Yarrowia lipolytica: one gene and its partner. The protein of the gene in region 2 purifies or fractionates together with the protein of the main gene of each other region. This does not show direct contact. Links are inferred from orthologs where the notes say so. Each region holds a gene or a part of one and is shown on either strand. Other genes may lie near its edges.

Region 1 (3,053 bases), on a different chromosome or scaffold from region 2:
TGCCATTTGCTACGAAGAGTTTTCTAACGCCATGCTGGTGATCCCCACCACCCTGGCCGAGAATGCCGGTCTCAACCCGGTCAACGTTGTGACCGAGCTGCGAGTTCGACACGAAAAGGGCGAGGTCAACGCCGGCATTTCGGTGAGACGAGGAACGTCCATTATGGTGGAGGAGCATGTCATTCAGCCCGCATTGGTTACCACCTCGGCCATCACTCTGGCCGCCGAGTGTGCCAAGGGTCTGCTCAGAATTGACGATATCGCCTTTTCCAGATAAATATAGAGGGTATTTAGAGTATGGTATGATTGTTATGAGAGAGGACTACGACCGGAGAAATTGGTTCGCGTAGGTACTACTGTAGTTAGCTACGAGCAACATGTCCTTGTAGTCCGTAGACACAAGTAGTATCGTATTTAGTGTGTATTGGTACAGCCACTAACGGTGCAAGTACAGTTTGTACTGTAGTGGTGTGTTCTTATTATATAATGCTATTGGATATATGCTGTTTATTCCTCCTCCTCCAGTGTCTGGCCCTCCTTTTCCAGTCTCCAGATTGGTAGACCAACTGTCTTAGGGCTCTTGATGTAAATAGTTTTGGTTGATCGAGCTCCCCCGTCCACGAGGTTGTCGACGATGTTGTTTGCCACTCGATGCGAGTTCTCCTCGATCTCCTTGGCGGTATTGTCTGGCAGGTATCCGACGAGGGCAGTCAGATTAACAGCGCCCTGCTCGCATGCCATTGATCTGGGGAGAGTCACCGACGTGGATCGAAGCAAACCTCGCACCTGTGCCTTGACGTAGTCCGGATCGGCAAACATGTTTGCGTCTCTTGCATCGTCTTCTTTTCCAGGTTGGATGAATCTGATGGGGAACGGCTTAGTCAGATGTCTCAGAGAAATCTTCTTGGACAGTCTATCATAACACTCCACGACCTCCTCGTGGATTCGGGAGTCGGCGACAATCAGATCGAAGTCCTTTCCGACAGACAAGGGGTCCTTTCGCAATTTAGGTCGAAACTTCTTGACCGAAATGATATCAGCAAATGTGTCTTTGGTGCTAGCTTCGTCAGCCTGGAAGATCTCTGCATATTTGGCGGTAGGGTGTGGCACTATGAGCAGTATTTTCGCCTGGGATATCGACTTGTGGATCTTGTGGTGCAGAGGAATGACATAGGGGACTGAAATGTTGTTCATACCTCGCTGCCCGGGAACTCTGACATTGGTTTTGGATGTTGTGGTGACGGTGAGGTGGACGGGAATTCGCTGGTTGGGGTCCTCGGTTAGCTCCTGTTTGGCGGACTTGAACAGTGCCTTAATGGCTGGCTTTTGCGTGAGTTTCATCTTGTCGCTGGTGGTCTGGATTTTTTTGTCATCTTTCGAAAATATTCGAGACCTGCATGTGAGCTGTATGGGTTAGGGGTTGCTAGGGGTAAACTAGTTGAGCTCCTGTCAACTAACTTTAGTTGGCTTTACTTGTGACAACATTGGTATGGTAGGAAGGTTCGGCATGTTATGATGGCCAAGTTGAGGTCATATAGCAGATGATGGAGGACACGGCAATCGTTGCCACAGACAGAATGTTTCATGGAATCACGGCCTATCCGAGCAAATACGACTACAACTACGAGTACTCGCACACGCACCACACGAACAACGCGACACAGCGAGCACTATACACACACCAATCTTCGCCACCAGTCATGAGTTCCCTCGTCCTGACATCGACCGCCTCCAACTTTGTTTGATTGTGGCGTACAACATATCACGGTAAAATAGAGTATGGAAGCAGCCAAGATGTAGCAAACCTGCTGTCCACGTGAGCCACGGGAGATATAATGGTAGCTGGATAGTGTCTGACACTCTCATCTTCCTATACCACTGTCTGCTTTTCAAGCCCACCGCACACAGAGATACAGTACACGTAAAGCCATACAACATCGCGTATAGGCATAGACCAACGGAGGCTACACACAAGAGCACCCCCAGACACTCCCAACAACAAGGTTTTGAGGGGAGTTACCCGGAAAAGTTTTCATCTACAACACTCCTTCCCATCTGCCCAAGGTCGATATTACCCGGTCTCGTTTCGCGAAACGCGGTTTTTGGACAGATACAGGAAAACGCAAAACAGTGTACGCGACGAGCACCACGTGATACAACGCCAGACGCCGCCAGACCACAACGTGACACTCACATCCACACAGCCACCTACACACAAGATGCCCAAGGAGGGTAAGCCCGCGCAGGAAGGCGCACAGGCGCTGCTGGATCTCCAAGACGAAGGCAAGGATCCTCGCAATGTCAAGGATGACAAAAAGACGAGCGATGGCAACAATACCAAGGACGACGTGGGCGAGGAGACCGTCGAGGGCGCTCTGATGCATCTGGTGCGATTCACTCAGGACGAGGAGAAACGCGAAAAGGAGAAGCCCGGTGTTGGTGTCGGTAACAACGGAGGAGCTCCTGCAGGCCAGCAACAACAGCAGCAGCAACAGCAGCAGCAGCAGTACGAAGACATTGCTCATTATGGGGAATTTCTCAACGACAATTCTGACACGCCATGGAACCAGAACCTGTTTTCGGAGCAGTTTGCCGTCGCAGCTGCCACTGCTGCCGGCGAGGGAGACTTCCAGGAAAAATTCAACAAGGAATTCAGCAAGGAGTTCAACAAGGAGTTCAGCAAGGACGAGTTCAACGAGATGGTGGCTGCTGCCGCTGTCGAGATTGGATCTGGAGGCGCTCCCCAGCCTGGCGCAGGTACAGAATCAGACGCACAGGCTCACGGACGGAAACGAAAACGTCAAAAGACGTCGCTCAACCCCAAACAGGACCTGAACGTGGATCCTGTGCTCGAGGGACTCGGAGAGGCCGTCAAGGGAGGAGACAATCTGCTCCTGATGGACGATTTCCGACGAACAGCAGGAGTTCCAGGTCACCCCCACGACCACCCTGTCACGTCACGCGACTACATCATGCCTCCCGAGTCTATGGTCGCGATGCGAAACACCAGCAACGCTCCCAAGGTTGCAGCCTCGAAACGCCCTAATTGGACA
Region 2 (5,616 bases):
CATACAATCATCTACGATACATCTACGATGTCATTAACCAATGTGCTTGGGTCGCACATACTCGATATACATTAACTGGTTCAAACCCATTCACCATGCCGCCTAATCCTGCATCTTCTCGAGCTTTCCGCTTCGAGCCTCGCCGCTTGATCCAATGAGCACCACTCTATCCAAATTAGTGCACTCGTCCTCGTCCTCTCCCTCAATGAGCATGGAGATGGTCGACACGTTCTGGAACCGCACGTATCTGAGCTTGATCTCGGCCCACTCACCATCAAAAACCACATCTCCGACATGCTGGGCCTCGATCGACTGGGTGTCGTCGAACGACAGGTTGGGATGGTTGGCCCACACCTTGATATGCGAGGGGATCTGGTTGTCACCACTGACGGCGGGCTTCTTGAGCAGAATCGTCTGGATCTTGGCGTTGTTCTGCAGCTGCACGTTGAGCAGCATCTGCGAGTCTGTATCGGAGACAAACTCCTGATCGCCCGACAGCCCGTTGGTCAGCACGTTTCGCACGTCGCCGTTGTTTGCAATGTTGAGAGCCTCGGTCGAGGTGAAGTCAATACCAGAGTTGAGAATCTCCATGTTCTTGGGCACAAAAGCTGCGATGGCAGAGTTGTCAGTCGAGTTGACAGTGGAGCCAGCATCCTCAGAGTCGGCGCCTCCTGCTCCAGGAAGGGACTTGACGGCTGCAGGGTTCAGGGAAACCAACTGATCCAGACCAGTAGTAATTCCGGCTCTGTCAGCTCCAACGACCCGATTGACCTCCTTGCCCTTGTGGAAGTACACAAAAGTGGGCATGGAAGACACGGTGTACTTGGCAGCAATGTCCTTGCCCTGATCCACGTCGACCTTTGCAAATAGCACCTGGTTGTAGTCGGACTGGAGGGTCTCGACAAAGGGTGAAATCACCTTGCAGGGTCCGCACCATTCTGCGAAGAAATCGACAATGACTAGCTCGGACTTGAGCACCTTGTCAAACTCCCCCAGAGACGTGACTGTATGTAGCTTCATGGTTGTGGTGGTGTGTTGTGCTGAGTTGTGTTTTGTTGGAGGAGGTTTTGGTGTCATGTCTTGACTCTATGTGGGTTGATTGATGTGATGTGGGCTGAAGTTAAACTGGGGTGGCAAACGATGGTGGTTGTAGTAACAAGAGGTGGGGTGAAGAGGGGGAAATACAGACGGGATAAAACAGAGACAAATATATACATTGATAGCTATTACTTGTATGGAACACTTTTAACTGTCTCCTAAATGTCTCCTTGAGTGATATGAGGGGACCCACAAATAGAGTTCCATGTCTTCAACTGTGTGGACTAAGTATGGAACTATTTAGTGGAAAGAATTGTTTAAACTCTGTATGGGGACATCCCCAGTTCGAGACGTGTCAGTGTCTTTTCTTGTGTGTGTGTGTGTGTGTGTGTGTGTGTGTGTGTGTATGAAAAGTGAGAAAATGAGACCAGTATACTGACTAAGCACACCAAGAGCCCCAAAGAAATTCCGTCTCGTCGCTTCGTTGCCTCTCCATTGCAAGATCAATCTCAGCCCGTCACGTTTCAAGTCTTGGGCTTACTCCCTAACCCGAACCTTATAAAAATTATTTCATGCATGATATGGATTATTTTCAAACGCATACTACACAACACAATCATGGGAGTCAAGCGACCTCTATCCAAGGCTTCTCAGCATGAGAGCCAGAGTAAAAAGGTGAAATCCGAGGCCAAGCCCGAAATCACCTCTCTCGCCGACCTGGAGAGCGAAGACGACGACTCAGAGGACGATTCCGAAGACGATTCCGGGGCTGATGACGACTCAGACGAAGACAAGTTCTCGGACAAGGAGGAGGAGATCTCGGACAATGAACACGAGGAGAAACCAGGCCGAGTGTCGAAAAAGAAGGCCAAATTGCAGCTTTCTGCAGCGGAAATCAAGGCTGCAAAGGAGGCTGCTGAACTCTTCAAGAGTAACATCTTCAAGATGCAGATTGACGAGCTGCTAAAGGAGCTGGACGTGGATGAGAAACACACCAAGCGAATTGGCAAAATGCTCCATCGGGTCCATTCGATCATCGCCGAGATCCCCAAGGCTGGTCCCTTCGATGTGTCCAGAGCTAGCAAGTGGGCTTCTTCCCAGCAGGTGGAGATCCCCTGGAACCGACCCAGTGACAAGACTCAGTACAAATTTGCTTTTGCCAAGCCTTCAGATGTGAATGTGGTGGGATCTTTTGCTCTGGGTAGTGTCAACCGACTGCCTGGAAAGGAGCGTGTGGCTGTGGATGTTTCCGTCACTATGCCTCGAGAATTGTTTCAGGAAAAGGACTTCCTCAACAACCGGTACCTTCACAAAAGGGCCTTTTATCTGACTGTTCTGGCTGCTGCTCTGAAAAAGGAGCTCGACTGCAGCGTGTCTTACGAGACTCTGGATGACGATATTCGGCCTGTGGTTGTGCTTCGAGGAATCAACAAAAGCGATACCGATTTCGGCCCTAAGTCGCCCTTCTACATTCGAATTCTTCCCGTCATCGAAGAGGATGTCTTTGACACCAAGAAACTGGCCCCTGGCCGAAATTGTCTGCGATCCAAGGACGGAGAAGAACCCCCCACCCCCCTTTACAACTCTGCTATCCTTGCAGACATGACCACAACCCGATACCTCGGCTTCCTGAAGAAGACCGCCAAGATCGTGCCTGCCTTTGTGGCTGCCTGGCGTCTGGGAAGCCTGTGGCTCAGGCAGAGAGGCTTCTCTGGAGCTGTGGGCCAGGGAGGTTTTGGAGCCATGGAGTTTGGAATGCTCATGGCTGCTCTGCTGAGATCCAAGCAGCAGCTGCATGCCGGATACTCATCATACCAGCTGTTTAAGGGAGTGGTACGGTTCCTGGCCATTGAGGATCTGACCCGGCAGACCTGGACTTACTCTTCAGCCCTTGAGCTCAGCAACGACGCTCACTTTGAAGACAATGATACCAGACTGCCCTGTGTTCTGGACTCTGATACTGGTCTGAACATCATCGCCAAGGTCCAGCCCTGGGCATATGATCTCATCAAGCACGAGTCTCGAGTTTCCTTTGATCTCCTGAGCGACACTACGGTGGACCGATTTGGACTCCTGTTCCTGCGATACATTGCCGAGCCCAAGCTGTATTTCGACGAGGTTGTGCGTGTCCCCGTGACTGAGATTGAGGGCCATCCTTTCACTGGATCCAAAAAAGTGCAGTTCTCGTCATTTGGCAACTTCTTCGCCAACAATGTCTACGCTGTTCTGAAACAGGGTCTGGATGACCGAGTCGCCTGTGTGTCTGTCTCCATGGAGACTGGCCAAGCCTGGGACATTGATGCCAAGTTCGAGACCTCCACCACTGGCGAGGTGTCTGTGGGATTGCTTTTCACTGCCGACTGCAACAGAACTGTCACTCATGGACCCGCCAACGACGATGCCGAGGCCTGTGAAGCTTTCCGAGATTTCTGGGGCGACAAGGCCGAGCTTCGACGGTTCGCTGACGGCTCTATTAAGGAGACCACCGTGTGGAACGGTCGAGGACTCGTGACTTCTCAGATCATTCGGTTTGTGCTGGAGAACCATGTGTCTCCCTCGTGTCTGGCTGATCTGTACCTGTCTTCCGACAACTACCAGACCATGATCACGGAGGTGACCGACGCCCATTCCAAGCTCATCTCCGAGGCTCTTGTCAATCTCACTGCTGCCGTCAATCGAATCGAGCTGCCTCTGGTGGTCAAGAACATTCTTCCCGCCTCTTCGGCTCTTCGGTCGACCGATGTGTCGCCTGCTCTGCCCTTCGAGCTCAACGGCGACTTTTTCTGCGACGCAATTGTCCAGTTTGAGAGCTCGTCTCGATGGCCCGAAGAGATTGAGGCTATGGAGAAGACCAAGCTGGCCTTTTTGCTGGATATGCGAAAGAAGCTGGCAGACCAGGGATATCGAGTCATTGTTGGTTTCAACGACAAGCAAGCGTTTGCTCTTGTTCTGACGCCGGAGGGATTCGGATTCAGACTGCACATTATCACCGAGACTGACGAACTGCTGGTCAAACATTTCGTCAAAGATAACGCCAACGCTGCTCTTCGACACCTCGCCTTCCGACAGTTCAATGACGCCCCTAACCACACCCGGCTCATAACCACCATGACCACCCGATATCCTCTGTACGGAGCCACCGTGCGACTGGTAAAGGCCTGGCTGGACGCCCACTTTATGACTGCCGCCTTCCCCCAGGAGCTGTGGGAGCTCATTGCTCTGCAGCCCTTCGTGTCTTCGGCACCCTACGTGCCTCCTCAGAGCATCTCGTGTGCCTTCAACCGAGTCATTGCGTTCCTGGCGCGTTGGAACTGGAAGGAGAACCCTCTACTGCTCGATGTGGAGGTGCATCCCGATCCTTCCCGAGAACTGGCTGTGCAGGAAAATCTTTCGGACGTGACTGGAACCACCACCGACTCTGCTGTGCATGCGCAGATGACCGCTGCCTTCGCCAAACATCGTCACCTGGACCCTGCTCTTCGAGTGCCTTTATTTGTGGCCACCACCCGAACCAAGGTCGAGGACGGAGCTCTGTGGTCTGCTCCCAAGCACGAGGGGGCCGGAATCATGCTTTCTGGTCGTCTCACAGCGCTGGCCAAGGCTGCCAAGCAGGTAATCGATACCGACGGGCAGTTTGAGTCGCTCTTCAGCACCTCTCTGGCTCCCTACGACTTTACCATCAAGCTGCGAAAGGACCAGGTGCCCAAGAAGACCTCGAAGTATAAGAATCTGCAGGCCATTGTCAAGGGAACCTTCCCTAATGACGACGGAGTGGTTGCCAACTCTTGCAACGAGGCGCGTCGGTTCTACGATGAAATCTCCAACACCTATGCTGGAGCCTGTCTCTTCTTCTCGGACGTTCTGGCCATGGATTCTGGAGTTATTGCCGGAATGTGGCTCCCTGAGGCCAAGGAGCCCCGGAAGTTCCGTGTCAACTTGGAGTACGCCACCGTTCCCGATGGCTCCAAGGTGACTCTTGACCAGGAGGGTATTATTAGCGAGATCAAGCGAATCGGAGGAGACTTGATTAATAAGGTGGATGTTAAATAGCGGCTTCGTGGAGGATTTAATAATAGATGCATTGATTAGATTAGAAGAAGATGGTGGAGTCTAGATGGAGTGATATATTACACCGCAGTACGTATTTGAACCGACTTTGGAAGAACTACAGGCCAACATACCCGAACTAGCAGAGTGTACACACCCACTAGCTACTGCACAAGTGCATACCAGCGTACTGATACTTTACAATAAGTATGAGTGCGTCAGTGGACAGCCTGCATTAGCTGGCTAACCGTTGAACCATTGCTTTGCGTCTGCACGAGCGATATGGACCAGAAAACAAGAAATATGTTGTATTTCAAACTCGGAGAATGTAATTGAGAACTTGCACCTTCCATTGTACTCACAGACCGTCCAGTGTGTATGTAGTTCAACATAACATCATCTTGTAACAGCTCTAACGGGCAGCCTTACATAGACTGGTACCGATTTTATCTGATAGCCATATGGGATCAGCTGCTGTAGATGAATCTATACCCTTACCAATTCTTGATGCGGAATCGGTCTAGAGTCCTA

The links. The genes of interacting proteins can lie anywhere in the genome.
Region 1: the proteins of YALI1_E37387g (region 2) and YALI1_F27132g purify together in Saccharomyces cerevisiae (affinity purification with mass spectrometry, with the first as the bait; 4 studies listed by BioGRID). This does not show direct contact. The link is inferred for Yarrowia lipolytica from reciprocal best matches to the Saccharomyces cerevisiae genes UTP22 and UTP30.

What each region holds. Positions count from the first base shown.
Region 1 is NC_090775.1:2,711,924-2,714,976, forward strand, and holds YALI1_F27132g (uncharacterized protein), read right to left. Parts: upstream 1,342-3,053; coding exon 508-1,341; downstream 1-507. Other genes in the region: YALI1_F27101g (uncharacterized protein), read left to right, coding at 1-277; YALI1_F27141g (uncharacterized protein), read left to right, coding at 2,220-3,053. UniProt on the Saccharomyces cerevisiae protein: Involved in rRNA-processing and ribosome biosynthesis.
Region 2 is NC_090774.1:3,734,690-3,740,305, reverse strand, and holds YALI1_E37387g (uncharacterized protein), read left to right. Parts: upstream 1-1,614; coding exon 1,615-5,088; downstream 5,089-5,616. Other genes in the region: YALI1_E37392g (uncharacterized protein), read right to left, coding at 103-1,077. UniProt on the Saccharomyces cerevisiae protein: Involved in nucleolar processing of pre-18S ribosomal RNA and ribosome assembly.